Anolis sagrei: one gene and its partners. The protein of the gene in region 3 interacts with the protein of the main gene of each other region in a pairwise test. Links are inferred from orthologs where the notes say so. Each region holds a gene or a part of one and is shown on either strand. Other genes may lie near its edges.

Region 1 (7,933 bases), on a different chromosome or scaffold from region 3:
GAGGGTTCGTAGGAAGAAATGCGTTCGGATAGATAGGCTGGGCTGGAACCGTTTAGGGCTTTATAGGCTAAAGCCAGCACTTTGAACTGAGCCTGGTAGCAAACTGGCAGCCAGTGGAGCTGATGCAGCAGAGGAGTTGTATGCTCCCTGAGCCCTGCTCCTGTTAGCAACCTGGCTGCCGCACACTGGACCATTTGAAGCTTCCGGGCCGTCTTCAAAGGCAACCCCATGTAGAGCACGTTGCAGTAATCTATGCAGGATGTAACCAGAGCGTGTATTCTCCAGAGCTTCTGATAATTTAAGTCCAAGTTTGGACCACCAAATGTTTTAGATGATGATGATGATGATGATGATGATGATGATGATGTCCATTAGCCACTAGCATCGACCCAGCTGTTAAGGCAGGCATGGGCAAACTTCAGCCCTCCAAATGTTTTGGACTTCAATTCCCACAATTCCTAACCGCAGGTAGGCTGTTAGGAATTGTGGTTGTTGTAGTCCAAAACACCTGGAGGGCTGAAGTTTGCCTATGCCTGTGTTAAGGACAGGTTGGAGTTGTGGCTCCAAAGGAGCCCATCCTGTCCTCAGAAAAAGCATAACTATTAGTTCTTTAACAAGGGGTGGAGAACGTTGGCTCTGCAGGTGTTTTTTACACAACTCCCATTGGTTTTGACCAGTTTGGTAAATTCCAAAGGGTAGTATGAGTCGTACTTCCAAAAATCTGGTATACTGGCTTTGCACAGAGTTACTGAATTATCTCTCTCTGTGCATTGTTTAGTTCAGACAGGGAAGATGGATAATGTAGTCCTACAACATTGAAAGGACCAAAGGTTTCCCATCTCTGGCGAGACCTGCCCTGTCTAATGGCTGTTGTGACTATTGATCTAAGTGGCCAGGTGCAAAAAAGAAGACAAGGGCACTGTGCTGTCGCATGCTGGGCCTGTGCATAAGACTGTAGACAGGACATACATTCTGTGTGCCCAACGGGACGCCGGGGCTGCCTCAGATTAAAGGTCTTTGGATTTCCTTAAATCACAGTCTCTAGAATGCTTAAAGGTTCCACAAAGTTCTTTATTAATGAAAACAAACAGGGACTTTAAAGCTTTCTTAACAGTCTATTGGCTCTCTCTCAGTCTTGTCCACAGGGAACAGGCACTATCTTCATAAACTGTATTTAGCTAATAGGGAAATCCTTAACTTCTAATCTGGGCAGTCTGTCTTTGCCTCTGTTGGCGTGGAGCCCCTGCACCCAGTACCAACTGTGTCTGGTTTCCACGAGTGACCCTTACCAAGCAGAGCTTTGTAGACTTCCAGAGGAAAAAGGAGTTCAGGTTTCGGTGATGGCTGGCTGAAGTCCTTCAGCAAAGGAGCTGTAAGGCTGTATGATCCTCGGCCAAGCTGTGGGTTGTATAACCCCGGCCAAGCTATAGAAGATGAAGCTTTCTACAGGAACTCTTGGTGTTACGTCCTGCATGGAAAGCTTCTCTGTGTGGACTGAACCCAAACTGGCTCCTATTCCCTCCAAAACCCAAAGGGGGCGGGACCAGGGAACCTAACTATAATTGACAGGTGGCTTGCCCTATGATTGCAGCCAAAAGAAGCCACCTATCTGCAGAGTCCCTGAAACTTAGGACTACAACAAACATTCAATGCAAAGCAAACAAAATTGGAGCTCCTGGTACAGTTGTACCTGCACAGGCACTGTGCACAGAAGAGGATATTTCACCAGTTATAGCTTGTCATACAAACAATGTTGAAATTCCCACTTCTGTAAAACTATGAAGGCAGCAGGAACCTGGCTTCTTTTACATCCTATTTTACAAAGACAAAAGAAAATTTAGATTAATACTTCCCAAATGAGTTGTTATTGTACCATTTTAACTATTCGAATTATTTCCCCTCTATATGATTACATATTTATTGAAGGTATGTTGCACGTTGCTACAAGTTGGCCCTGGACTTGAGCAAAATTGGTTAGTTTTCTGTGTTGTTAATTGTGCGGAAAGGGATTTTGTGCTGGTACAACTGCACCAGGAGCTCCAATTTTGTTTGCTTTGCATTTAATGTTTGTTGCAGTCCTAAGTTTCAGGGACTCTGCAGATAGGTGGCTTCTTTTGGCTGCAATTATAGGGCAAGCCACCTGTCAATTATAGTTAGGTCCCCTGGTCCCACCCCCTTTGGGTTTTTGGAGGGAATAGGAGCCTTTTTGAGTCCAGTCCACACAGAGAAGCTCTCCATGCAGGACATAATACCAAGAGCTCCTGTAGAAAGCTTCGTTTTCTATGGCTTGGTCAGGGAGATATACAGCCTACAGCTTGGCCGGGGAGAAAAGGCCCACAACTTGGCTGAGGATTTTACAGCCTTACAGCTCCTTTGCTGAAGGACTTCAGCCAGCCATCACTGAAACCTGAACTCCTTCTTTTCCCCTGGAAGTCTACAAAGCTCTGCTTGGTAAGGGTCGCTCGCAGAAGCCAGATGCAGTTGGTACCGGGTGCAGGGGCTCCATGCCAACAGAGGCAAGTACAGACTGCCCAGATTAGAAGTTAAGGATTTCCCCATTAGTTAATTACAGTTAACAACCTCTGTACATGGCATTCATCGACCTTGCAAAGGCATTCGACACAGTGAATCGCAGCGCTCTCTGGACCATCCTCCAAAAAATCGGGTGCCCAAACAAATTTGTGAACATCCTGCGGCTCCTCCATGATGACATGATGGCAACAGTTTTGGACAGCAGTGGCTCCCAAAGTGACCCATTTAAGGTGGAATCGGGTGTCAAACAGGGATGTGTTATTGCCCCAACTTTATTCTCCATCTTCATCGCTATGATACTTCACCTTGTTGATGGGAAGCTTCCCACTGAAGTGGAAATAATCTATCGGACAGATGGCAAGCTATTCAACCTCAGCAGACTGAAAGCCAAAACCAAGGTTACAACAACATCTGTTATAGAACTCCAGTATGCTGATGACAACGTCGTCTGTGCGCATTCAGAAGAAGATCTACAAGCCACTCTAAACACCTTCGCAGAAGCATACGAGAAGCTCGGCTTGTCATTGAACATTGAAAAAACCAAGGTGCTTTTCCAGCAGGCACCAGCCAATCCCTCTCCAATGCCAGTGATACAGCTTAATGGTGTAACATTAGAAAATGTTGTTCATTTCCGTTACCTTGGCAGCTACCTCTCCACCAAAGTCAACATCGACACCGAAATACAACACCGCCTGAACTCTGCAAGCGCAGCATTTTTCCGAATGAAGCAGAGAGTGTTTGAGGACCGGGACATCCGTAGGGATACCAAGGTGCTTGTTTATAAAGCTATTGTCCTCCCAACCCTGCTCTATGCCTGTGAGACGTGGACTGTCTACAGACGTCACATGCAACTCCTGGAACGATTCCATCAGTGCTGCCTCCGGAAAATCCTGCAAATCTCTTGGGAAGACAAGCGGACAAACGTCAGCATGCTGGAAGAAGCAAAGACCACCAGCACTGAAGCGATGGTCCTCCGCCACCAACTCCGCTGGACCGGCCATGTTGTCCGGATGCCCGACCACCGTCTCCCAAAGCAGCTGCTCTACTCCGAACTCAAGAACGGAAAACGGAATGTTGGAGGACAAGAAAAGAGATTTAAAGATGGGCTCAAAGCCAACCTTAAAAACTCTGGCATAGACTGTGAGAACTGGGAAGTCCTGGCCCTTGACCACTCCAGCTGGAGGTCAGCTGTGACCAGCAGTGCTGCAGAATTTGAGGAGGCATGAGTGGAGGGTGAAAAAGAGAAACGTGCCAAGAGGAAGGCGCGTCAAGCCAACCCCGGCCGAGACCGCCTTCTGCCTGGAAACCAATGCCCTTACTGCGGAAGAAGATGCAGAGCAAGAATAGGGACCCACAAGAATATTGGAAGACAATCATCCTCGGAAAGCGAGGGATCGCCTAAGTAAGTAAGTAAGTAATTACAGTTAAGAAGATAGTGCCTGTTCCCAGTGAACAAGATTGCAAGAGCCAATAGACTGTTAAGAAAGCTTGAAAGTACCTGTTCATTTTCATTAATAAAGAACATTGTTGAACCTTTAAGCAATCTAAAGACTCTGGGGGAATCCAAGGGCCTTTAATCTGAGGCAGCCCCGGCGTCCCGTTGGGCACACAGAATTTATGTCCTGTCTACAGTTTTATGCACAGGCCCAGCGTGCGACAGCACAGATTTCGTCATTCTCTTTGGCCCGGCCATCATCTTGTGCCACATCAGGAGCTTCGTAAAGGGATCGCGCAATACGACAGAATCATAATCGGCTATTTGTTCTCAGTCTCAAAAAAGTTTTACGAACTTTGACGGTGTCGCCATGTTCGCTTGTTACAAAATAAATGTTATGGCATCTGAAGGAGCAACAGATTTACTGCGGCATACGGTTGCTATCATTGGCCTCGAGGGCCTTTCACACATCTGATGAAGGTAGGCTCTGGTCCAAGGGAACATATGCCGCCCTCAATGTGGCCCAAGACTCTGCTGTCAAGGTTTGGCAAAATAATTTTTTTTAAAGTGTGTCTTCTGCCATCTTGTGGCAGAACTGTTTTAATTGAGTCTCAAATATTTTCCAGCCATGGGCAAACTTGGGCCCTCCAGGTGTTTTGGACTTCAACTCCCACAATTCCTAACAGCCGTAGGCTGTTAGGAATTGTGGGAGTTGAAGTCCAAAACACCTGGAGGGCCCAAGTTTGCCTATGCCTGTTCTAGACTGTATTTGCAGCCATAGAAGGGAAAGGGTTAACTGTGAGCTTTGACTACATTTCCCAGAAACCCACGCGAGGGTTGAATCTGGACAGTGGCGCAAAGGCTACTGGGAATGGTAGTTTTCCAGCCGAAACCACCACTTAACTTTCTTTTTTCAGTCAGGGGAGGCCGAAAATGGCGTTCGTGCTGCCGAGGAAGGTGTTCGTGCTGCCGAAGAAGGCGGGGGTGTCGCTGAAGCAGGTGAAGAGCATCCTCGTCCGCTTCTGCCCCTTCGAGGCCAATGTGGAGAGCACCAGGTGAGGAGGAGGAGGAGGAGGAGATGGGCCCTCTGCAGAGGCCTAAAGGGGAAAGAAGGCCTTCGCTCTCCATTGAAGCCCGCGTCGCGTAGTTCCTTGATTCTTCATTGATGGCAGGATAGACGCCTAATTAATCCTGAAATGTTCTCAGGCCTCATACAGCTGGTTAGATCATAGAATAATAGAGTTGGAAGAGACCACATGGACCATCTAGTCCAACCCAACGCACAATCAAAGCACTCCTGACAGATGGCCAGCCATCTGTTTATAGAATTCTAGACTTGGAAGGGAGTATAGAATTCTAGACTTGGGAGCCCTCAAGGTCAACCAGTCCAGCCCCCTTCTGCTATACAGGAAGGCACAATCAAAGCACCACCAACAGCCAGCCTCCAAGGAAGGAGCTTCCACCACACTCTGAGGCAGAGAGTTCCACTGTTGAATTATTATTATTATTGGGTTGTTGTAGGTTTTTCCGGGCTATATGGCCATGTTCTGGAGGCATTCTCTCTTGACGTTTTGCCTGCATCTATGGCAAGCATCCTCAGAGGTAGTGAGGTCTGTTGGAAGTAGGAAAAATGGGTTTATATATCTGTGGAATGACCAGGGTGAGACAAAGGACTTTTGTCTGTTGGGGCTAGCTGTGAATGTTTCAGCTGATCACCTTGATTAGCATTCAATGGCTTGGAAGGGCCTGGGTGGAATCTCTTGTTGAGAGTGATTTTATGTGCCTGTTTGTTTCCCCTCTGCTGTTTTGCTATTGTAATTTTAGAGTTTTTTAATACTGGTAGCAAGATTTTGTTCATTTTCATGGTTTCTTCCTTTCTGTTGAAATTGTCCACATGCTTGTGGATTTCAATGGCTTCTCTGTGTAGTCTGACATGGTGGTTGTTGGTGTGGTCCAGCATTTCTGTGTTCTCAAATAATATGCTGTGTCCAGGCTGGTTCATCAGGTGCTCTGCTATGGCTGACTTCTCTGGTTGGAGTAGTCTGCAATGCCTTTCATGTTCCTTGATGCGTGTCTGGGCACTACGTTTGGTAGTCCCTATGTAGACTTGTCCACAGCTGCATGGTCCACAGTAGTAATATTATTTATTTATTTATTTATTTATTTAAAAGTTTTATATACCTGTCTTCTCCACCTCCGGAGAAGACTCAGAGGGACTCAGGTCAGTTCACAACATATATTCAAACAACAGCAATACAAAAACAATACAGTAAATCATCATTAAACATTAAAACCTAAAATACAGTAAAAATACCTCATCACATTGCACAAGGCAAGTCGTCAAATAGAGTTACGATTCATCACCATCCTTCCCTATGCACAGGGTTATTGACTCACTCGTCAAATGCCATATTCCAAAGCCAGGTTTTTAGTAGCTTTCTAAACGACAGGAGGGAAGGGGCAGATCTAATCTCTAGTGGAAGGGAGTTCCAGAGCCGGGGAGCCACCACCAAGAAGGCCCTGTCCCTCGTCCCCACCAGACGCGATTGTGAAGGTGGTGGGACCGAGAGCAGGGCCGCTCCTGAGATCTTAATAACCTTTTTTTTTTTTTTTGAAGTAATTTTTATTGAACATTTTATAAATCCACACAAGGAAAGAGGGGGAACAATAACAAGGAGAAAGGTAAGTAGGAAAAAAGGAAAAAAGAAACAACAAAAACATAACAACACACCAAATAAACAACATATCTACCTAAACTAATCTAAAATGACTTCCACTCCAACCTCGGGATCTTCTCACACTTCTTCTTCATCTTACTTGTCTATTCTTTTCCTCTATGACTTTTCTAAATTTCTTTTCATAGTCATAAAAAGAAGACCAATCTGTCCTCTTTAACGATTTTCCGGTATTTCTTCTCATTAAAAAAGTTAATTCATCCATGTCTCTTATTTCTTTAACTTTCTCCAACCATTCTTCAATGGTCGGTATTTGATCATTCTTCCAAAATTTGGCAAAAATAATCCTTGCCGCTGTGGTGAAATAAGTAAACAGTTTATCTTCATTCTCCTCCAGTTTGAGTTCAGAGTCTGTGAATCCTAATAAGTAATATTCTGGTTTCTTTTTGAACCTCTTATTCAACATCTTTTGTATTTCCACATGAATAGAGGCCCAAAACTTAGTTGTATCTTTACATGACCACCACATGTGGTAAAAGGTGCCTGTTTGTTCCCCACATTTCCAACATTTATCTGAAACATTTTGATACATGTGACTAAGCTTATTCGGTGTCAAATACCATCTATAAAACATTTTATACCAATTTTCTTTCAAGTCCATGGCATAAGTATATTTCAATTTTTTGTTCCATATTTGCTCCCATTCCCTAAATTGAATGGGCCTTCTTAAGTTTTCCGCCCACTTAATCATACATGTTTTCACCTGTTCAGTTTCCGTTAACCACTGGATCAATTTATTATACAATATTGTAACTATTTTCTTTTGTGTTTTCAATATTTTATCCCATGTGTTTTCTTCCCAGTCAAAACCAATTTTTTGATCTTGTTTAAAGTATTCTTTAATTTGTAGGTAATGTAACCAGGTTATATTACCATAAGAGTTCTTAAGTTGTTCAAAAGATTTAATCTCCGTTTTCCCTTTTAGCAGGATGTCCTTATATCTTGGCCAGACCCTCCATCCTAAAAGTCTTCTTTGATGGGCCTCCATTGCTGAGACCCATAATGGAGTAGATTTGTAGAAGAGGGTTTTGTATCTCATCCATGTCCTCAGTAGGGAGGCACGCACAAAGTGGTTACCAAAATTCTTTTCCTGAGAGATCTTAATAACCTTGATGGCTCATAGGGGAGAATCCGTTCGGACAGGTAAATTGGGCCGGAGTCGTTTAGGGCTTTATAGGTCAGCTCTTACAGTCAGGAAGTTCTTCCTAATGTTCAGTTGGAATCTCTTTTC
Region 2 (7,625 bases), on a different chromosome or scaffold from region 3:
CTCAAACATTCCAGTTGAAATCAGATATTGTGCATGATTTGTCTTGATATTTTGGGTTCTATGGCAGTGTGAACTTAGATAGTAAAGGTAAAGGTTTCCCTTGACATTGTCTAGTCGTGTGCGACTCTAGGAGGTGGTGCTCATCTCCACTTCTAAGCCAAAGAACTGGCATTGTCCATAGACACCTTCAAGGTCATGTGGCCAGCATGACTGCACAGAGCGTCATTACCTTTCCACAGAAGTGGTATCTATTGATCTACCCACTTTTGCATGTTTTCGTACTGCTAGGTTGACAGAAGCTGAGCCTAACAGCGGGAGCTCACCACACTCCCTGGATTCGAACTGCCAACATTTTGGTCAGCGAGTTCAGAAGCTCAGTGGTTTAACCTGCTGTGCCACCAAGGGGAATCAGATATTTCCGTTCAAATCAGATACGATATCTATTGAAGTACTCACATTTGCATGTTTTCATACTGCTAGGCTGATAGAAACTGAGCCTAACAGCGGGAGCTTACCCCGTTCCCTGGATTCGAACTGCCAACATTTCGGTCAGCAAGCTCAGATATTCCAGTTCAAATCAGATATTGTGGATTATTTACCTTGATATTCTGCGTTCTATGGCAGTGTAGACTCAAATAATCCAGTAAGCTGCTTCGAGTCCCCTTTGGGAAGATGGTGGCGGGGTATAAATAAAGATTATTATTATAACCCAGTCCAAATCGGGTATTGTGGAGGAGCTCCCTTGTTATTCTGGGTTCTTGGGCTGTGTGAACTCAGATAACCCAGTTCAAATCAGGTATTGTGGATGATCTCCCTTGTTATTCTAGGGTCTTGGGCAGTGATGTTATTTTGTTTATATTTTATGTTGCTGTAATGTATCGCTGGGCTTGGCCTCATGTAAGCCGCTCCGAGTCCCCTTTGGGGAGATGGTGGCGGGGTATAAATAAAGATTAGTATTATAACCAAGTTCAAATCAGGTATTGTGGAGGATCTCCCTTGCTATTCTAGGTTCTTGGGCAGTGACGTTATTTTGTTTGCGGTGGCGCAGTGGGTTAAAGCACTGAGCTGCTGAGCTTGTTGATCGAAAGGTCGCAGGTTCGATTCCGGGGAGCGGCGTGAGCTTCCGCTGTCAGCCCTAGCTTCTGCCAACCTAGCAGTTCGAAAACATGCAAATGTGAGTAGATCAATAGGTACCGCTCAGGCGGGAAGGTAACAGCACTCCATGCAGTCATGCCGGCCACATGACCTTGGAGGTGTCTACGGACAACGCCGGCTCTTCGGATTAGAAAAGGAGATGAGCACCACACCCCAGAGTCAGACATGACTGGACTTAATGTCAGGGGACTACCTTTACCTTTAACCTAATGTATTGCTGGGCTTGGCCTCATGTAAGCCGCTCTGAGTCCCCTTTGAGGAGATGGTGGCGGGGTATAAATAAAGATTATTATTATCATTATTATTATTATAATCCAGTTCAAATCAGGTATTGTGGAGGATCTCCCTTGCTATTCTGGGTTCTTGGGCAGTGATGCTATTTTGTTTATATTTTATGTTGCTGTAATGAATCGCTGGGCTTGGCCTCATGTAAGCCACTCCGAGTCCCCTTTGGGGAGATGGTGGCAGGGTATAAATAAAGATTATTATTATTATTATAACCCAGTCCAAATCAGGTATTGAGGAGAATCTCCCTTGCTATTCTGAATTCTATGGCTGTGTGGACTCAAGACATTCCCCTTCAAAGCGGACATGGTGAATGATCTGCTTGGGTATTCCGGGTTCTACGTCTGTGTGGAAAGGCCCCAAGATATCATTCCCCTCTTAAGTGTTTTTTTTTTCTTTTTTTGAACGCCAGCTGTAGCTTCCAGACGCTAACCTCAACCACGACTTAGCCCTGTCTCAGCCGTTTCGCTCTCGTAAAACAACTTCTAAGGCAGGCCCCACCCCTTCTCAGGTTCATCCTCCTAATCTGGCGACGCGCTGCTCTGCTCTACTGAAGGAGGGCGCCAGGAAGTGCCTTGCTTTCCCACGAATTGGGTGTCATTCGGGGTCGCCGCCATTAGGAGAGCAAGTGCTCCAGACATGGGCCTTCCTTGCAGGTGTTTTGGACTTCAACTCCCACCATTCCTAACAGCTTAAGCGGCTGAGGGGGAAAAAGAAGGGGCCTGAGGCTGTTAGGAATGGTGGGAGTTGAAGTCCAAAACACCTGCAAGGAAGGCCCAAGCCTTGAAGTCTAAACCACCTGGAAGGAAGGCCTAAGTTGTCCCATCCCTGCTGTAGAGGAGAAGGAAGGCGGGAAAGAGTGTGGCAACCCACGACGCCCCTCTTCCCCTCTCCTCCGCCCTCACCTGGGTCGTGAGGCTCGCCCTCGCTGCCGGCGGAAGCGCTGGAAGGGGAAGCCGAGCTGGAGGAGGCCGAGGCCGGCTTCCAGCAGCGGCGGGCCCACGGGTTCTCCTTAGGGAGGGGGGCCTCGGTCACGTGACGGCGAGGAGGAGGTGGAAAGGCCGGGCCCTGGTCGTCGTCGCTGCTCTCGTCTTGCTTGGAAGGGCGCTCTTCCGCCGCACAGGCCCCGCCGCCGGTAGTAGTAGTAGTAGAAGTAGAAGAAGATGTCGCCGCCTTCTTGTCTTCCTCCTCCTCCGCTCCTCGAACTGGTGGCTGAGGGGCAGCCGAGGAGGACATGCCCGCCCTTCCTCCTCCTTTTCCTTCTCCTCAGACGCTCCTCATTCGCCTCACTCAGCCAGGGCTTCCAACCGCCAGCAGCCCCGTCTTGCGGGAGGAAGGGGGGGGGAGGAAAACAGCAGCGTTCTGAGAAGAGCCAAGCAAGCGCGCGCTGCCGACACGGAGGGAGGGCGAACCGAAGGATGGAAGAGCCGGCGACGGAAAGTAGCGAATGGGCCTCTGCTGTGTCTCTCGCTCTCAGGAGAAAGCCTCGTCACAGCTGTCGCGTGCGGGAAGGGGCGGGGCTTGTTTTCCCCTCCTTTCCCCCCTCCTCCTCCTCCTCGCGCCCGGGATGGTGGGCGGGGCTTAAAGGGCCCCCTTGCTCTTCTAAGGAGAAAGCCTCGTCACAGCTGTCGCGTGCTGGAAGGGGCGGGGCTTGTTTTCCCCTCCTCTCCCCCCTCCTCCTCCTCGCGCCCGGGATGATGGGCGGGGCTTAAAGCCCAAGAAGGTCTTGCTCTCAGGAGAAGGGGCGGGGCTTGTTTTCCCCTCCTCTCCCCCCTCCTCCTCCTCGCGCCCGGGATGATGGGCGGGGCCAAAGCCCAAGAAGGTCCGCTTGCTCTCAGGAGAAGGGGCGGGGCTTGTTTTCCCCTCTTCCTCCTCGCGGCCAGGATGGTGGGCGGGGCCAAAGCTCAGCATAGCCTCGGCTCTACTCTTGCTCTTCTAAGGACAAAGCCTCGTCACGGCCGTCGCGTGCTGGAAGGGGCGGGGCTTGTTTTCCCCTCCTCCCCTTCACCTTGCGCCCGGGATGATGGGCGGGGCCAAAGCTCAGTATAGCCTCGGCTCTCTCTCTCTTGCTCTTCTAAAGCCTCGTCACAGCTGTCGCGTGCTAGAAGGGGCGGGGCTTATTTTCTGCCCCTCCTCGCGCCCGGGATTGTGGGCGGGGCCAAAGCCCAGAAAGGACAACCCTCCCCCACTGAATAGGGCGGGGCTTCTTCTTCCCAACGCTTCCAATGGGTATACCTTGTGACGTCATAACGTCCTCGGCTTTATTTGTCCACTCTAATCTTCCGGGACTTCAACTCCCAGAAGACCCGGCTTCCGCGGCCAATGCTGAAGGATTCTGGGAGCTGAAGTCCAAAGCCGCTTTGGAAGGGAAACACTCCAATTATAGCCCGGAAAAACCTACAACAACCCACTCCAATTAGAGTCTGGCACCGCTTTTAACTGCCCTGGCTCAACGCTATGGAATCCCATGAGTTGGGAGTTGTGCAAGCCTTCTCCACTGCCTCGCCAGACTACTACATTGTTTATTTGCGTGTAATTATTTGCATTTAATTTATTATGTATATGTAGTTTCACTGTGTGGAGCCCCCGGTGGCGCAGTGGCTTAAACCGCTGAGCTGCTGAACTTGCTGATCGAAAGGTCTCAGGTTCGAATCCGAGGAGCATGGTGAGCTTCTGCTGTTAGCCCCAGCTTCTGCCAACCTAGCAGTTCGAAAACATGCAAATGGGAGTAGATCAATAGATACCGGCACGGTGCTCCATGCAGTCATGCCGGCCACCTTACCTTGGAGGTGACTACTGATAAAGCCGGCTCTTTGGCTTCGCAATGGAGGTTTTCACCAATCCCCAGAGTCAGACACGAATGTCCTTTACTAGTTTCACTGTGTTGTATGGCACTTGAGCCCTGCCACATGGACAATGGAGGACCTTCTCACAACGACACCAGAGGCACTCAGGTCAAAAGACATTTTACAAGTTTTAATCTTTGTACTGGTTTTAAATACATTATAACTGTACCTCAATTCGCTTCTGATGCGATAAATAAATAAAGTATAGCAATGAATGGCTGCCACTGATGTTGTAAACAGCCCCGAGTCCCCAAGGGAGAGATGGGACAGGATTTAAATAGAGTTGACTTGACTTGACTACATGTCCCACGATTCCATAGCCATGGTGGTGCACTGCAGTAGTTGCTCCAGGCAGTCATGCTGGCCACATGAACTTGGAGGTGTCTATGGACAACGCTGTCTCTTTGACTTAGAAATTGAGATGAGCACCAACCCCCAGAGTCGGACACGACTGGCTTAATGTCAGGGGGAAACCTTTAGCTTTACCAACTGGAACAGGCAATCCCCAAAAGGCAATGCCACTCAAGAGGAATGGGAGTGTATTTTGTTGTTGTTGTTCATTCGTTCAGTCGTCTCCGACTCTTCGTGACCTCATGGACCAGCCCACGCCAGAGCTCCCTGTCGGCCGTCACCACCCCCAGCTCCCTCAAGGTCAGTCCAGTCACTTCAAGGATGCCATCCATCCATCTTGCCCTTGGTCGGCCCCTCTTCCTTTTGCCTTCCACTTTCCCCAGCATAATTGTCTTCTCTAGGCTTTCCTGTCTCCTCATGATGTGACCAAAGTACTTCAACTTTGTCTCTAGTATCTTTCCCTCCAGTGAGCAGTCGGGCTTTATTTCCTGGAGGATGGACTGGTTGGATCTTCTCGCAGTCCAAGGCACTCTCAGAACTTTCCTCCAACACCACAGTTCAAAAGCATCGATCTTCCTTCGCTCAGCCTTCCCTAAGGTCCAGCTCTCACATCCGTAGGTTACTACAGGGAATACCATGGCTTTGACTAGGCGGATCTTTGTTGCCAGTCTGATGTCTCTACTCTTTACTATTTTATCGAGATTGGACATTGCTCTTCTCCCAAGAAGTAAGCGTCTTCTGATTTCCTGGCCACAGTCTGCATCTGCAGTAATCTTTGCACCTAGACATACAAAGTCTGTCACGGCCTCCACGGTTTCTCCCTCTATTTTCCAGTTGTCAATCATTCTTGTTGCCATAATCTTGGTTTTTTTTGACGTTTAGCTGCAACCCGGCTTTTGCGCTTTCTTCTTTCACCTTGATTAGAAGGCTCCTCAGCTCCTCCTCGCTTTCGGCCATCAGAGTGGTGTCATCTGCATATCTGAGGTTGTTAGTGTTTCTTCCAGCAATTTTCACCCCAGCTTTGCATTCATCCAGCCCCGCACATCGCATGATGTGTTCTGCATACAAGTTGAATAGGTTGGGTGAGAGGATGCAGCCTTGCCGTACGCCTTTCCCAATCTTGAACCAGTCTGTTGTTCCGTGGTCAGTTCTTACTGTTGCTACTTGGTCCTTGTACAGATTCCTCAGGAGAGAGACAAGGTGGCTTGGGATGCCCATCCCACTAAGAACTTGCCACAATTTATTATGATCCACACAGTCAAAGGCTTTAGAATAGTCAATGAAGCAGAAGTAGATGTTTTTCTGAAACTCCCTGCCTTTCTCCATTATCCAGCGGATATTGGCAATCTGGTCTCTCGTTCCTCTGCCTTTTCTAAACCCAGCTTGAACATCTGGCAACTCTCGCTCCATGTATTGCTGGAGTCTTCCTTGCAGGATCTTGAGCATTACCTTACTGGCATGAGAAATAAGGGCCACTGTGCGGAAGTTTGAGCAGTCTTTCGCATTTCCCTTTTTTGGTATGGGGATATAAGTTGATTTTTTCCAGTCTGATGGCCATTCTTGTGTTTTCCATATTTGCTGGCAAATGGCATGCATCACCTTGACAGCATCATCTTTTAAGATTTTAAACAGTTCAGCTGGGATTCCGTCGTCTCCTGCTGCCTTGTTGTTAGCAATGCTTCTTAAGGCCCATTCAACCTCACTCCTCAGGATGTCTGGTTCTAATTCATTCACCACACCGTCAAAACTATCCTCAATATTATTATCCTTCCTATACAGATCTTCTGTATAGTCTCGCCACCTTCTCTTGATCTCTTCAGCTTCTGTTAGGTCCCTGCCATCTTTGTTTCTTATCATACCAATTTTTGCCTGAAATTTACCTCCAATGTTTCTAATTTTCTGGAAGAGGTCTCTTGTCCTTCCTATTCTGTTGTCTTCTTCCACTTCCATGCATTGCTTATTTAAAAATAGTTCCTTATCTCTTCTGGCTAACCTCTGGAATTGCGCATTTAACTGGGCATATCTCCCCTTATCCCTGTTTTCTTTTGCTTTCCTCCTTTCTTGGGCTACTTCCAGTGTCTCAGCAGACAACCATTTTGCCTTCTTGGTTTTCTTTTTCTTTGGGACGTACTTTGTTGCCGCCTCCTGAACAATGTCTCGGACTTCTGTCCATAGTTCTTCTGGGACTCTGTTTACTAAATCTAGTCCTTCAAATCTGTTCTTCACTTCCACTGTATATTCGCTAGGAATGTTAGTGAGATCATATCTAACTGGTCTGTGTATTTTCCCTGATCTCTTTAGTTTTATTCTAAATTGGGCAATAAGAAGTTCGTGATCTGAGCTACAGTCAGCCCCAGGTCTTGTTTTCACCGACTGGATGGATGTCCGCCACCTTTGGCTGCAAAGGATGTAGTCAATCTGATTTCGGTGTTGACCGTCTGGTGAGGTCCATGTGTAAAGCCGTCTTTTAGGTTGTTGGAAGAGAGTATTCGTTATACACAGCGAGTTTTCCTGGCAAAATTCTATCAGCCTGCGTCCTGCTTCATTTTGTTCTCCCAGACCATGCTTGCCTGTGATCCCTGTTGTCATTTGACTTCCCACCTTGGCATTCCAGTCTCCTGTAATGAAAATAATGTCTCTTTTTGGTGTATTATCCAGTAGTTCCTGCAGATCCTCATAGAACTGATCTACTTCTGCTTCTTCAGCAGCTGTGGTTGGGGCATATATTTGGATCACTGTAATGTTGAAAGGCTTTCCTTGCACTCGAATTGAGATCATTCTGTCATTTTTTGGGTTGTATCCAAGCACCGCTTTAGCGAATTTCTTATTAATTATGAAGGCTACTCCATTTCTTCGATGTTCCTCTTGTCCGCAGTAGTAGATCTGGTGGTCATCTGATGTGAAGTGGCCCATTCCAGTCCATTTCAGTTCGCTGACCCCCAGAATGTCTATCTTTAGTCTTGACATCTCCCCAATAACAACATCCAA
Region 3 (7,201 bases):
GGGCCAACTCGGGCCCTCCAGATGTTTTGGTCTGTAACTCCCACTATTCCAAACAGCCTCAGCCCCCTTCCTTTCCCACCTCAGTTGCTTAAAAGGAACGTGCCTGAGGCTGTTATGAGCTGTGGGCGTTGGATTCCAAACTCCAATGCCAGAGATACAGCTTAATGTAACATTAGAAAATGTTGATCATTTCCACTACCATGGCAGCCACCTCTCCACCAAAGTCAACATCGACACCGAAAAACAACATTGCCTGAGCTCTGCGAGTGCAGCATTTTTCCGAATGAAGCAGAGAGTGGTATCCGTAGGGATACCAAGGTACTTGTCTATAAAGCTATTGTCCTCCCAACCCTGCTATATGCCTGGGAAATGTGGACTGTCTACAGACATCACATGCAACTCCTGGAACGATTCCATCAGCGCTGCCTCCGGAAAATCCTGCAAACATCTTGGGAAGAGAAGTGGACAAACATCAGCGTGCTGGAAGAAGCAAAGGCCACCAGCAATGAAGCGATGGTCCTCCGCCATCGACTCCGCTGGACCGGCCACATTGTCCGGATGCCCGACCACTGTGTCCCAAAGCAGTTGCTCTATTCCGAACTCAAGAACAGAAAACGGAATGTTGGAGGACAGGAAAAGAGATTTAAAGATAGGCTCAACGCCAGCATTAAAACTGGGTTGCTGTAGGTTTTTTTGGGGCTGTATGGCTATGGTCTAGAGGCATTCTCTCCTGACGTTTCGCCTGCATCTATGGCAAGCATCCTCTGAGGTAGTGAGGTCTGTTGGAACTAGGAAAAAGGGTTTATATATCTGTGGAATGACCAGGGTGAGACAAAGGACTCTTGTCTGCTGGAACTAGGTGTGAATGTTTCAACTGACCACCTTGATTAGCATACAATGGGCTGACTGTGCCTGGAACAAACTTTTGTTGAGAGGTAATTAGATGCCCCTGCCTGCTTCCTCTCTGTTGTTGTGCTGTTGCAATTTTAGAGTTTTTTTTAATACTGGTAGCCAGGGCCATAGCCAGAAAAACTTTTTTGGGAGGGGTTGAAATTTTCGGGGTGGGGGTGGGGGGTTGAAACCTGCCTCCTTGCTCATGCTGAAGCAAAGAGCACAGCAGGGGGCAGATCAGCCTTCAATAGCCTGCAGCTCCGCCCCTGTCAACCACCTCCACCAAGTCTGGCCTCCTTAATGAGAGCATTCAACACACACACACCCAACTTGGTTGCTTCACTACATCGGCTATTGCTGCAAGTAATGACAGTGTGAATAAATTGCCAATATTTGCTTGAATTAGTGCTTACAGTTCTGGAGGGACTCTTAATTTTTTGCATCTCATAGACTTAGCATGGGGATTTGGTTAACCAGTTAAAATTCATGAGTAAACCAGGTTTTTTTAAAAAAAATCTGAAACATTTCGGGGGGGGGGGGGTTGAACCCCTAAAACCACCCCCTCGCTACAGGCCTGCTGGTAGCCAGATTTTGTTCATTTTCATGGTTTCCTCCTTTCTGTTGAAATTGTCCACATGCTTGTGTATTTCAATGGCTTCTCTGTGTAGTCTGACATGGCGGTTGTGAGAGTCGTCCAGCATTTCTGTGTTCTCAAATAAAATGCTGTGTCCAGCCTTAAAATCTCTGGCATAGATACTGAGAACTGGGAAGCCCTGGCTCTTGAGCGCTCCAGCTGGAGCTCAGCTGTGACCAGCAGTGCTGCAGAATTTAAAGAGGCACGAATGGAGGGTGAAAGAGAGAAACCCCCGACCGAGACCGCCTTCCACCTGGAAACCAATGTCCTCACTGTGAGAGAAGATGCAGGTCAAGAATAGCGCTCCACAGCCACCTACGGATCCACAAGAATACTGATGGAAGACTATCCTAGTTGGCTAACGAGGGATCGCCTAAGAAGGATTCAAAACAATGTATTGTCGAAGGCTTTCATGGCTGGAATCACTAGGTTCTTGTGGGTTTTTTCGGGCTATATGGCCATGTTCTAGAGGCATTTTCTCCTGACGTTTCGCCTGCATCTATGGCAAGCATCCTCAGAGGTAGTGAGGTCTGTTGGAGTTAGGAAAATGGGTTTATATATCTGTGGAATAACTGGGGTGGGGCAAAGAGCTCTTCTCTGCTGGAGCTAGGTGTGAATGTTTCAACTGACCACCTTCATTAGCATTTGAAGGCCTGGCTGAGCCTGGGGGAATCTTTTGTTGAGAGGTGTTAAGATGTGCCTGGTTGTTTCCTCTCTGCTGTTTTGCTGTTCTAATTTTAGAGTTTTTTAAATGCTGGTAGCCAGATTTTGTTCATTTTCATGGTTTCCTCCTTTCTGTTGAAATTGTCCACATGCTTGTGGATTTCAATGGCTTCTCTGTGTAGTCTGACATGGTGGTTGTGAGAGTGGTCCAGCATTTCTGTGTTCTCAAATAATATGCTGTGTCCAGGCTGGTTCATCAGGTGCTCTGCTATGGATGACTTCTCTGGTTGAAGCTCAGCCAGGCCTTCAAATGCTAATGAAGGTGGTCAGTTGAAACATTCACACCTAGCTCCAGCAGAGAAGAGCTCTTTGCCCCACCCCAGATATATAAACCCATTGTCCTAATTCCAACAGACCTCACTACATTGTCGAAGGCGTTCATGGCTGGAATCACTGGGTTGTTGTAGGTTTTTCCGGGCTGTATGGCCATGTTCTGGAGGCCATTTTTCTCCTGACGTTTCGCCTGCATCTATGGCAAGCATCCTCAGAGGTAGTGAGGTCTGTTGGAAGTAGGAAAAATGTGTTTATATATCTGTGGAATGACCAGGGTAATGTTTCAGCTGATCAAAGTGTTCTTGCCATACATCAAGGGAACCACTGACCGCATAGGGAAGCTGATGAGGAAACACAACAGCCTTGGCAGACCGTGCAAAAAGAATCTGCGAACCCCACCTCCTCCAAGATGAACTGAACCACCTCAACTGGGCTCTCCAGGCCAATGGAGACTCCACCTCAGACATCAGAAGAGCTGCAAGACCAAGAACAAGCCACGAGAGTAAAGATGAAGATCCACCCAGAGGAAAAGTGTTCCTGCCATACATCAAGGGAACCACTGGCCGCATAGGGAAGCTGATGAGGAAACACAACATACAAACTATCTACAAACCCACCAAGAAAATCCAACAAATGCTACGTTCAGCAAAGGACAAGAGGGATCCTCTCACCTCTGCAGGAGTCTACCGTGTACCATGCAGCTGTGGACAAGTCTACATAGGGACCACCAAACGCAGCATTGCCCAAACACAAATCAAGGAACATGAAAGGCACTGCTGACTACTTCAACCAGAGAAGTCAGCCATAGCAGAGCACCTGATGAACCAACCTGGACACAGCATATTATTTGAGAACACAAAAATGCTGGACCACACCAACAACCACCATGTCAGACTACACAGAGAAGCCACTGAAATCCACAAGCATGTGGACAATTTCAACAGAAAGGAAGAGACCATGAAAATGAACAAAATCTGGCTACCAGTATTAAAAAAAACTCTAAAATTACAACAACAAAACAACAGAGAGGAAGCAATCAGGGACAGCTAATCACCTCTTAAGCCGCTCCTCATAGGGCTTGTTCTCCAGACCCTTGATCATTTTAGTCGCCCTCCTCTGGACACATTCCAGCTTGTCAATATCTCTCTTGAATTGTGGTGCCTAGAACTGGACACAATATTCCAGGTGTGGTCTAACCAAAGCAGAATAGAGGAGTAGCATTACTTCCCTGGACCTAGACACTATGCTCCTATTGATGCAGGCCAAAATCCCATTGGCTTTTTTTGCCGCCACATCACATTGTTGGCTCATGTTTAACTTGTTGTCCACGTTAAACATGTGATTCCCAAACACCTGGAGGGCCCCAGTTGGCCCAGGCGTGGCTGGGCGCCCTTTGCGGAGGAGGCGGGGCAACGCGGTCTCCTCAACCCGAATAGGCCACGCCCCTTTTGTTTGGCCCCTCCCACCGCTCCGCCGGTCCTTCAGCCGTGACGCCTCCACGGTCTGCGCAGCCGCAGTCGCTGCCGGCGACGGTTGTATCCGGCCGGCGCCTTTTTCTCCTCCTCCTCCCTTCTTCCCTCATCTCAACTGCCGTTGCTGCAGCCCTCGCTCCCCCCCCTCCTCCTCCTCCCTTCCGTTTCTCCCTCTCTCTGTCTCTATGACGCGATGGCAACGGCCAACTTCGGCAAGATCCAGATAGGGATCTATGTGGAGATCAAGCGCAGCGATGGTGAGCCGGCGAGAGGGAAGGGAAGGGTGGGGTGGGGAGGCTGAAGATGGAGGAGGAGGGGGAGGCCGGAGGGATGGAGGAAGGCTCGCCGTCAAGGCCCATTGTGAGGGGGGTGGTGGTAGTGGCGGCGGCGTGAGGCCTGTGAGGCGCTTTTCTGTGCCTGGTGGGGAATGTCTAATGCTGGGAGGGAGACATGGACGGCAGGGTGGGAGGTTGCTGCAGTGCTGCTGGGAGAGAGGCAAAGAAAGAGGGGAAGAGGCGAAGGAGAGAGAAGCAGCCCCCTTTCCTCGTGTGTGGGGCTGGTTTGAGGGACTGACAGGGGAAGGGCGTGACCCTCGGGTTTAAGAGGCCGGGGGGCCAGGAGAAGGCAGGGATCCTTGAGGGCTGGAGAGGCGTGTATTGTGTTGTGGGAGGAGAGGAATGGGATAATGCTGGTAGTGAGGAATGTATGACAGGGTGTGGACTCTGTGGCTCTATGAAATCCACATTGAAATGGATCTCTATTTGTTTATCTAGCCCAACCCACTGCCATGCAGGAAAAAGCACAATCAAAGTACCCCTGACAGATGGCCATCCAGCCCCCAAGAAAGGAGCTTCCACCACACTCAGAAGACCCTCCCACACAGCCCTACATCCCAGAATATCAAGGCAGAAAATCCCACATGATCAGAGTGTGGTCTCAGATAACCCAGTTCAAAACAGATATTGTGGGGTTTTCTGCCTTGATATTCTGGGATATAGGGCTGCTTGGAAGGGCCCTTAGATAACCCAGTCCTTTTTTCTATAAGCCTAAAAGCAGAGTTTTCTCTGGGCACCACAGTGTTCCTTTGCTTGAGTCAGGCTCATTCCACACAGCTGAAGAAAATCCACATTTTCTGCTTTGAACTGGGATACATGGCAGTGTGGACTCAGATAACCCAATTCAAAACAGATATTCTGGGATATAGGGCTGTGTGGAAGGGCCCTTAGATAACCCAGTCCTTTTTTCTATAAGCCCCAAAGCAGAGTTTCCTCTGGGCACCACAGTGTTCCTTTGCTTGAGCCAGGCTCATTCCACACAGCTGAAGAAAATCCACATTGTCTGCTTTGAACTGGGATATATGGCAGTGTGGACTCTGATAACTCAATTCAAAGCAGATATTTTGGGATTTTCTGCCTAGATATTCTGGAATATAGGGCTGTGTGGAAGGGCCCTGAAGCAGAGTGTTCCACTGCTGAAGCAGCAATACCCGTTCATTGATATAGGTGTATATGGGAACAGGAATAGGCAATGCATTTTCATCATGCACTTGTTGAATTGGGGGAGGGGGAGAGAAAGCACACCCTCTTTCCTTTCCTCTATAAGCCTAGAAGCAGAGTTCCCTCTGGGCCCCACTGTGTTCCTTTGCTTGAACCAGGCCCCTTCCAGACAGCTGAAGAAAATCCACATTATCTGCTTTGAACTGGGATATAGGGCAATGTGGACTCAGATAAACCAGTTCAAAGTAGATGTGGGATTTTCTGCCTAGATATTTTGAGTAATATGGCTGTGTGGAAGGTCCCTGGGAAAGATTCTGTGGGCCCTTCCACACAGACCTATATCCCAGAATATCAAAGAAGAGAATCCCACATTGTCTAGTTTGAACTAGAATATGTGGCAGTATGGACTCAGATAATGTGGGATTTTATTCAGCTGTGTGGAAGAGGCCTGGGTCAAGCAGAGAAACACTGTGGTGCCCAGAGGGAACTCTGCTTCTAGGCTTATAGAGAAAGGAGTAGGAAAGGGGGTGTGCTTCCTTCCCCCTCACCTCAACAAGTGCATGATGAAAATACAATGGGTATTGTAGCTTCAGCAGTGGAACACTGCTTCAGAGTGTGGTGGAAGCTCCTTCCTTGGGAGCTTTTAATCAGAGGCTAGATGGCCATCTGTCATGGGTACTTTGATTGTGCTTTTCCTACATGGTAAGGGATTGGACTAGATAGTCCAGGCACGAGCCATCTTCAGCCCTCCAGGTGTTTTGGACATCAACTCCAAAAATTCCCAGCCAGCTTTCAGGCTGTTAGGAATTGTGGGAGTTGAAGTCCAAAACACCTGGAGGGCTGAAGTTTGCCCATGCCTGAGATAGCCCATGTGGTCTCTTCCAACTCTGTTATTCTATGATCCTACCCATTACTTAAAGATGCATGTGAAGACTTTGGGGCTCAAAGAGAACTTGGCCTCATTGTTTATAGGTATGGTGAGGTTGGAGAGCCGACTTGTGTCCCTGTCTCTCTGTGTCAAACAGAGAAAGGCTTTGGTGCCTAGAGAGAACTTGGCTTCATGGCTTGTGGAAGGAAGGAGCAGGAAGGGGATGTGCTTTTTCAGATGTGCTTTCTCCCTCATCCTTTCAACAAGTGCATTATGAAAATATATCACGTATTCGCACTCCCACCTTAATGTGAAAAACCACATACTTGCCTGGATGGCAAGGGATACAGGGATGGTGAGATAAGAGAGCTGGTGTGTGTGTGTGTTTGGATTTGTGTGTGTCTTTTTTTGTTTGTCTTTGTGCCCAGAGAGAGCATGGCTTCATGGTTTATAGAGAAGGCTGCTTAAGTCCTCTCCCCTGAACAAGTACATTAAGAAAATATATTTCCAATCCCATCTAAGTGAGCTACGCTTGCATGAATGGCTGATACGTTGAGTAACCATTATCTATCTCAGTCACCCATGTGGACAACTTTGGATACTGGGATATTTTGGAATTATAGATAAGGGATGCTCAACCTGCATTTTTAATTACACTTATTAGATGAATGGAAGAATCCTTGGTAAGCTTCAGTATGCCCCCGCCCTTGTTATTTAGCACAAGTCTTGCTGTGTTGTGTTCAACTAAATAAGATCACCACTCTCCTTAGCACCCGGATGTTTGTCTTCCCGCCCCCTCAGGAGGGATGAAGTTCCTGTGTTGACTCAGCGTTTTCCATTTTTT
Region 4 (7,618 bases), on a different chromosome or scaffold from region 3:
GGGGGGTTCTGTGTGGGAAGGTAGGCCTAATTCTATCTTTGATGTGGTTCACAATGCTCTTTGATTGTAGGTGAACTATCAATACCGACAACTACAACCCCCAAATGTCAAGGTCTATTTTCCCCAAACTCCACCAGTGTCCACATTTGGGAATATTGAGTATCCATGCCAAGTTTGGTCCAGATCCATCCTAGCTTGACCCTTCTAGTGTTTTCTGTTGGTCAGGGGTGTCCTGTGTGCCAATTTTGGTTCAATTCCATCGTTGGTGGGTTTCAGAATGCTCTTTGATTATAGGTGAACTATAAATCCCAACAACTACAACTCCCAAATGACAAAATCCTAATTTTTCAAGTGATGGTCATTCCTTGTGTTGTGAAACATTTTGTTGCCAAATTTGGTGTGATTTTGTTCATTGGTTCTTTTATTTTTAAGGTACTCATTATGCACAGAGCATTTATATATATATAGATATAGATATAGACAGGGGCGGCTCATCCATTACGCGAAGTAAGCGGTCGCAGAACACTTTTTTTTGCCAGGGGCGCAGAGGTGCCTCAGTAAATGCCCCTCAACCGCCACTTGAGGAGCGCCCCCTCAGCTCGCAACAGCCCTAGCAGTCCAGGGGGAGCCTCAGCTTATTGCCTCGCTGCCGGGCGATCCTCTTCCCAAAGGGGCCGGGCCCTTGAGCCTCGCCTAGCCCCTCTCGTTCCTGCTCCACCCGGCCACCGGGTGCGCGAGCAGAGCCGGCGCTCAATCGTTCTCCGCGTTCGATCCCTTCCCCATGACCGGCTCCCTTTCCCGATCCCCCGGCGCTCCACCCGCCTCCTCTCCTCTCCCCAATCCGCGGGTGTGCCAAGGGGCGGAGCGGCCGCGCCTGGCCCACTTTGGGTCCGGAGGCGTGTCTGAAGACCCCAGCGTGCGCACCAAAAGTTGCCTCTTCTCCTGACTTTCTCTTCAGCCATTAGGACCAAGAGAGAGAGAGAGAGAGAGCCCCTCCGGCTGGAGGTATCTCCCACCTCCGCTCTCTCCTTTGTTTTTGCGCCTACCTTCAGGGAAGGTGGGCATCTCCACCTCTCTCTCTCTCTCTCTTGGTCCCAATGGCTGAGGAGAAAGTCAGGAGAAGAGGTGACTTTTGGTGCACACGCCGGGGTCTTCAGGCACGCCTCTGGACCCAAAGCAGGCCAGGCAATGGAGCAAGTGCGGCAAGTGTAGTTACTAGGATGTATAGTTCACCTACAATCAAAGAGCGTTCTGAACTCCACCAATGATGGAATTGAACCAAATATGGCACACAGAACTTCCACGACAAACAGAAAAAATATATATCAGTGATTGGTTGGGGGGGGGGGGTGCGCCAAAATACTGTTTGCTTACTGTTGAAAATTACCTATATAGATATATAGATATAGATCAGTGGTTCTCAACCTTGCTAATGCCGTGACCCCTTAATGCAGTTCCATATGTTGTGGTGACACCCAACCATGATATTGTTTTTGTTGCTATTTGATACCTGTCATTTTACTACTTTATAAATCGTTATGTAAATATCCGATATGCAGGATGTATTTTCATTCACTGGACTAAATTGAGCAGAAAAACCAAATATGCCCAAATCTGAATGCTAATGGGGTTGGGGGAGGATTGATCTTGTAATTTGGGAGTTGTGGTTGCTGGGATTTATAGTTCACCTATAATCAAAGAGCATTCTGAACTCCACCAATGATGGAATTGAACCAAACTTGGCACACAGAACTCCCATGACGATTAGAAAACACTGGAAGGGTTTTGTGGCCACTGACCTTGAGATTGGGAGTTGTAGTTCACCTATATCCAGAGGAGTGCTGTGGATTCATGCAATGATGGATCTGGACCAAATTTGGCATGAATACTCAATATGCCCAAATGTGAACACCGGTGGAGTCTGGGGAAAATAGGCCTTGATTTTTGGGAATTGTAGTTATTGGGATTTATAGTTCACCTACAATCAAACAGCATTCTGAACTCGACCAACAATAGAATTGGGTCAAACTTCCCACACAGAATCCCAATGACCAACAGAAAATACTATGTTTTCTGATGGTCTTTGGCGACCCGTTTGACACCCCCTCACGACCCCCTCAGAGGTCCCGACCCCCCGGTTGAGAAACACTGATATATATCAATGATTGGTTGGGGGGGGGGGCGCCAAAAAATACTGTTTGCTTACTGTTGAAAATTACCTATATAGATGTATAGATATAGATATTCAAGCATGTCTCGCTCCCTTCCCTGCCACGAACACACTCTGTCCACTCATGTAACCAAACCCAGTGGCTATCGAAAAGATCATGCACATACTGAAGCCTTGTACACTGGATATGTTTGTGGGGTTTTTTTTCCGATGGGTATTGTGAGTTCTTCCCTCCTGCTGGCATGATGGCTGGCAGGCTCTTAAAAAAGCCTGGCACCCTCCTTACTCACTGCCATGCCTCCTTAATGGCATTTCAAGGCTGGTGTGTGTGTTTTCCCCCTCATTGGTTCCAAGAAGATGCCCTCAAATGTCATCTCAAGGTGCAAAGCCATGCAAGTGAATGTAAAGGAGGCATTTCAGAGAGATAGAAAGACAGAGAGAGAGAGGTTGCAGGCATTGTGTGCCAATTCAGGCAGGTTGATCATTCAGGGAAGGTATAATGGTTGGCTATTGGGAAGGAAGGAAGGAAGGAAGGAAGGAAGGAAGGAAGGAAGGAAGGAAGGGAGAGAGGCTTGTCTGCCTTTCTTTCCCTGCCCAGCCCCCAGCAGAAGCCCCTGGTTGCGCTTGGAGCGAGCAAAGCAGGCACTTACTCGGGCAAAGCAGCCGGGCTGTTGAAGGAATGGTTCTGGAGGCTGAAGCAGAAGCAAGAAAACATCGGAGGCAGATCAGCAGGGCTGGCGGGCGGGCGGGCGAGGTCTCGCTGGGTGCTCGCTCTTCACGGCATGGCAAGGGGAGCGGGGATGGCAAAGGGAGGAGGAGGAGGAGGGGAGGCGGCAGGCAAGGCAGGGATGCGCGGCTCCTCGGAACCCTGGCCTCTTCTGCACATGCTCGCCGCCCAAGGAACCCCCGGGGAGGCAAGGCTGGCCTCCGAACCACAACGCCCATCAGGCATTGCTCCCGCTTTGGCTCCGGCCTTGGATGCTGATGCTCTTCCTGCACGAGCCCAACTCCAAAGCAGGGAGGGAGAAGAGCACTCCAGGCCAGACACACCAAGGGCTGGGTGGGAGCAAGCCTGTCGCCCGATGTATTTATTGCTTCTTCTTCTTCCTTTTGTGTTAATTCTTTATATTGGGGCCAGATTATCCAACCTAATTCTCTTCTTTGGCAAGAAACCCATAAAGGTGTCTTTGTTATAGAATCTACTAGCTGAACCCGCCACGCGTTGCTGTGGCCAACCTTCCCTCCCTCTTTCTCTCCTCCCTTCCCTCTTTCCTTCCTTTCCTCGTTTTCTTTCCCTATCTCTCTTCTTTCTTCCATCTCTACCTGTTTCTTTCCTCCTTTTCTTTGCTCTTTGGTTACATACTTCCTTCCTTCCCAGAGGCGGCCCTAGGTAATTTTCAACGGTAAGCAAACAGTATTTTGGCGCCCGCCCTGCCCCCCCAACCAATCATTGATATATATTTTCTGTTTGTCGTGGGAGTTCGGTGTGCCATATTTGGTTCAATTCCATCATTGGTGGAGTTCAGAATGCTCTTTGATTGTAGGTGAACTATACATCCCAGTAACTACACTTGCCGCACTTGCTCCCTTGCCTGGCGCGCTTTGGGTCCGGAGGTGTGCCTGAAGACCCCGGTGTGTGCACCAAAAGTCACCTCTTCTCCTGACTTTCTCCTCAGCCATTGGGATCAAGAGAGAGAGAGAGAGAGAGAGAGAGAGGTGGAGATGCCCACCTTTCCTGAAGGTAGGCGCAAAAACAAAGGAGGGAGCGGAGGTGGGAGATACCTCCAGCCGGAGGGGCTCTCTCTCTCTCTCTCTTGGTCCCAATGGCTGAAGAGATAGTCAGGAGAAGAGGCGATTTTTGGTGCGCACGCTGGGGTCTTCAGACACGCCTCTGGACCCGAAGCGGGCCAGGAACGGCGGCTCCGCCCTTTGGCCCACCCGCGGATCGGGGAGAGGAGAGGAGGCGGGTGGAGCGACGGGGGATTGGGAAAGGGAGCCGGTCATGGGGAAGGGATCGAACGCGGAGAACGATTGAGCGCCGGCTCTGCTCGCGCACCCGGTGGCCGGGTGGAGCAGGAACGAGAGGGGCGAGGCGAGGCTCAAGGGCCCGGCCCCTTTGGGAAGAGGATCGCCCGGGAGCGAGGCAACAAAACCAAGGCTCCCCCCGGACTGCTAGGGCTGTTGTGAGCTGAGGGGGCGCTCCTCAAGAGGAGGTCGAGGGGCATTTACAGAGGCGCCTCTGCGCCCCTGGCAAAAAAAAAGTGTTCTGCGACCGCTTACTTCGCGTAATGGACGAGCCGCCCCTGTTCCTTCCCTATCTCGGGAAGGTGGATCTGGCCAGGGTGGTCCATGCCTTAGTCACCTCTAGATTGGACTACTGTAATGCGCGCTACGTGGGGCTGCCCTTGAAAACGGCCCAGAAATTCCAACTGGTTCAACGGGGGGTGGCCAGGTTAACTGGTGCTCCTTACAGAGAGAGGTCAACCCAGGCATGTAGCCAGGGGGGGGGGCTCGGGGGGCTTCAGCCCCCCCCCCAAATTTTCATGGTGGTTCGCGAAAAGGCCTTACTGGTGCATTATTTAAACTGTTATGTTTATTCATATCATGATCTGATCACCATACTTAATATATCCCATATGCATGGGGGTATTGGGGTAATGATACAAAAGGTTTGCTAGGCTAGACCCTCTTTCACTCAGACTCAGCCCCCCCCCGAAACGCAGCCCCCCCGAAACCCCCCCTGAAAAAAAATCAGCCCCCCCCCCGAAACGAAATCCTGGCTACGGGCCTGGGTCAACCCTCCTGTTTAAGAAGCACCATTGGCTGCCATTCATTTTCCAGTCCCAATTCAAGGTGCAGGTGCTTACCTACAAAGCCCTAAACAGTTTGGGACCCGCCTACCTTCGTGACCGCATCTCCATATATGAACCCACACGATCTCTCAGATCATCTGGAGAGGCCCTACTCACGATCCCACCTGCATCACAGGCGCAATTGGTGGGGACCAGGGATAGGGCCTTCTCTGTGGTGGCCCCCCACCTCTGCAACTCTCTCCCCAAGGACATCAGACAAGCCCCAACATTGGCAGTCTTTAGGAGGAGCTTGAAGACATGGTTGTTCCAGTGTGCCTTCCCAGAATAGGAAACTCCAAGCATCATATCCCTAAATGCACTTTACTAGAGATTTACAATTGTCTGCACATTGCACCTATCTCCAAAAACCTATCTATTTCACCTGCCATGCCCAGCATTTTAAAAAAATTTAATCATTACATTGGCCCGGCTTTGGTTTTTAAATGTGTCGTGGTATTATTGTCTATTGTTATTTGCTATTGTTTTAATGTTTATTACTGTTTTGTGAGGTTTTTTTTGTTGTATTTGTGATGCTGCTGTTTTTGTGATGTTTGGGCCTCGGCCTCTTGTAAGCTGCACCAAGTCCTTCGGAAGATGTTAGCGGGGTACAAACAAATGATGATGATGATGATGATGATGATTATCTTTCGTTCCTTCTCTCCTTTCTTCCCTCTCTTTTTCCTTTCACTTTTTATTTCCTTCTCTCCTTCCTTGCTTCTCTATATTTTTTTCTTTCCTTCTTTCCCTCCCTCCTTCTCTCCTTCCTTCCTTTCCTCTTTCCCTCCTTCTCTCGTTACTTCTTTTTTATTTATTTATTTATAATCTTTATTCAGTTTTCAAATACAGTTAAAAAAAATAAAAACTTTGTAGCGAAGGCTACTAGTAAAAGAGATATAGGGTATGTGTATATATCAGTTCCCCGAAATATGAAATGATATAGTGACCAAAAGATAATAGACAAGAGAGACAGGAGAAATAGAGAGATAGCAGGGGAGGGAAGAGAGGAGAAGTGTAGCCCAAAAGCCCCATATAAGACAATAATAACAAGAAAAAAAAAAGGTTTCTTGCTTTCGACTTCCCGAGGTTTTCATAGGGTCCTCTTTGTCGTTCATCCAAACCTCCTCCTCTTCTCCTTCCCTTTCTTCTCTCCTTGTCTTCTTTCTCCTCTTCTTCCTTTCCTCCAACTCTTCTTCAATTATATCAGGATTTTTTTGTTCCTTTGCTTAAAATAACCCGTCACTTTTTCCCAGTTTGTTTCCTTCATTTTTATTCCTTTACTTCTTGTTATCAAAAATGTAAGCCAGTCCATATTTCTTACTTCCAAGATTTTTGTGAGTCTCTCATTTTCGTCTGGCGTATCTTCCTGCTTCCATCTTCTAGCATAAGTTATCCTATCCTTCTCTCATTACTTCTTGACTGTCCCTTCCATTTAATATTGTATTTATATCTTACATAGAAAGAAGGAAAGGAAGAAGGAAGGAGGGACATGAAGGAAGGAAAAAGGAAGGGAGGGAGGGAAAGAAGGGAAGGAAGGAAAAGAAAGAAGGAGGGACAGGGAGGGAGGAGAAGGAAGGACGAAGGAAGGAAGGAGGGAAAGAAAGGAGGGGAATGAAGAAAGGAGGGAAGGAAATGAAGGGGAAGGAAATGAAGAAAGGGAAAGAAGAAAGAGAGGGAGGGAGGAAAAGAAGGAAAGGAAGAAGGAAGGAGGGACAGGAAGGAAGGGAAGGAGGGAAAGAAGGAAAGGAAGGAGAAGGAAAGAAGAAAAGGAAAGAAAGGGAGGAAAGAAGGGAAGGGAGGGAGAGAAGGAAGGTCCTTCATTCAAGCACCGTGGCCAAGTCTGGTTTCTCAAGGCACATCATCCCCTCAACCCAAACAAGTAAAGGATAAAGCACATTGCATAAACATATTACATAAACATATAAAATAAGCATAATAAATAATGACATTTATCACCATTAAAAATCCCCGGGCCTCAGGCCACTGAGGTTGTCCTTAAAACATTATGCTAAAAAATCTTGAAGCTCTGAATCTTTGGCTGTGTAAACCTTGCCAAACCAAGATAGCTTTAGTGTTGAGTCTTGGCAATAATCACTAGTTGCCTAGTCATAGCTTAATATCGGTTGCTGGTGAAGGCCTCCTTCTAAGATTTCAACCCAAATGGTTCAGCAGATTTCCCTGGTGAACCTACTCATTTCATGTACAAGGTGCACTCTGTAAGTACAGTGTAGTGTTTGAAGGATAAGTTGGGGGTAAAGGTGGTCATCAGAAGCTTGGTGCATTGGTTGCTAAACCATTTGTGCAATGGAAAAATGCATTCGAAGTCTTCAATAGCCACCAAAAACGGAGTACCATCAGAACAACTTGTGCTTGGCTGAAAACTTCTTGCTAATTCACAGTGGAAAACATCTTGATGATAAAGGTAATAAGAAGAAAGCAGAAGAAAACAGAAATAAAACTTCTGCCAATTGTGGAAATTATTGTCCTTTGTGGCCCACAAGAACTGGCTTAAAGAGGGAACAATGATTCAGGACCAGTTACCAGAGGAGGGCGACTAAAATGATCAAGGGTAAGAGAAGCAATGAGAAAGGGGGCTTGT

The links.
Region 1: the proteins of KIF2A (region 3) and MRPL53 interact in binary tests that used the Homo sapiens proteins (3 or more experiments, as listed by UniProt). The two-hybrid records come from large-scale screens. The link is inferred for Anolis sagrei from reciprocal best matches to the Homo sapiens genes KIF2A and MRPL53.
Region 2: the proteins of KIF2A (region 3) and LARP1B interact in binary tests that used the Homo sapiens proteins (3 or more experiments, as listed by UniProt). The two-hybrid records come from large-scale screens. The link is inferred for Anolis sagrei from reciprocal best matches to the Homo sapiens genes KIF2A and LARP1B.
Region 4: the proteins of KIF2A (region 3) and FAM13C interact in binary tests that used the Homo sapiens proteins (3 or more experiments, as listed by UniProt). The two-hybrid records come from large-scale screens. The link is inferred for Anolis sagrei from reciprocal best matches to the Homo sapiens genes KIF2A and FAM13C.

The regions. Positions count from the first base shown.
Region 1 is NC_090024.1:39,152,159-39,160,091, reverse strand, and holds the start of MRPL53 (large ribosomal subunit protein mL53), read left to right. Parts: upstream 1-4,853; 5' UTR 4,854-4,900; coding exon 4,901-5,022; intron 5,023-7,933.
Region 2 is NC_090025.1:39,203,441-39,211,065, reverse strand, and holds the start of LARP1B (la-related protein 1B), read right to left. Parts: upstream 3,092-7,625; 5' UTR 2,677-3,091; coding exon 2,346-2,676; intron 1-2,345.
Region 3 is NC_090022.1:269,547,655-269,554,855, reverse strand, and holds the start of KIF2A (kinesin-like protein KIF2A), read left to right. Parts: upstream 1-4,022; 5' UTR 4,023-4,186; coding exon 4,187-4,250; intron 4,251-7,201. UniProt on the Homo sapiens protein: Plus end-directed microtubule-dependent motor required for normal brain development. May regulate microtubule dynamics during axonal growth. Required for normal progression through mitosis. Required for normal congress of chromosomes at the metaphase plate.
Region 4 is NC_090023.1:164,360,819-164,368,436, forward strand, and holds the start of FAM13C (protein FAM13C), read right to left. Parts: upstream 3,179-7,618; 5' UTR 2,886-3,178; coding exon 2,821-2,885; intron 1-2,820.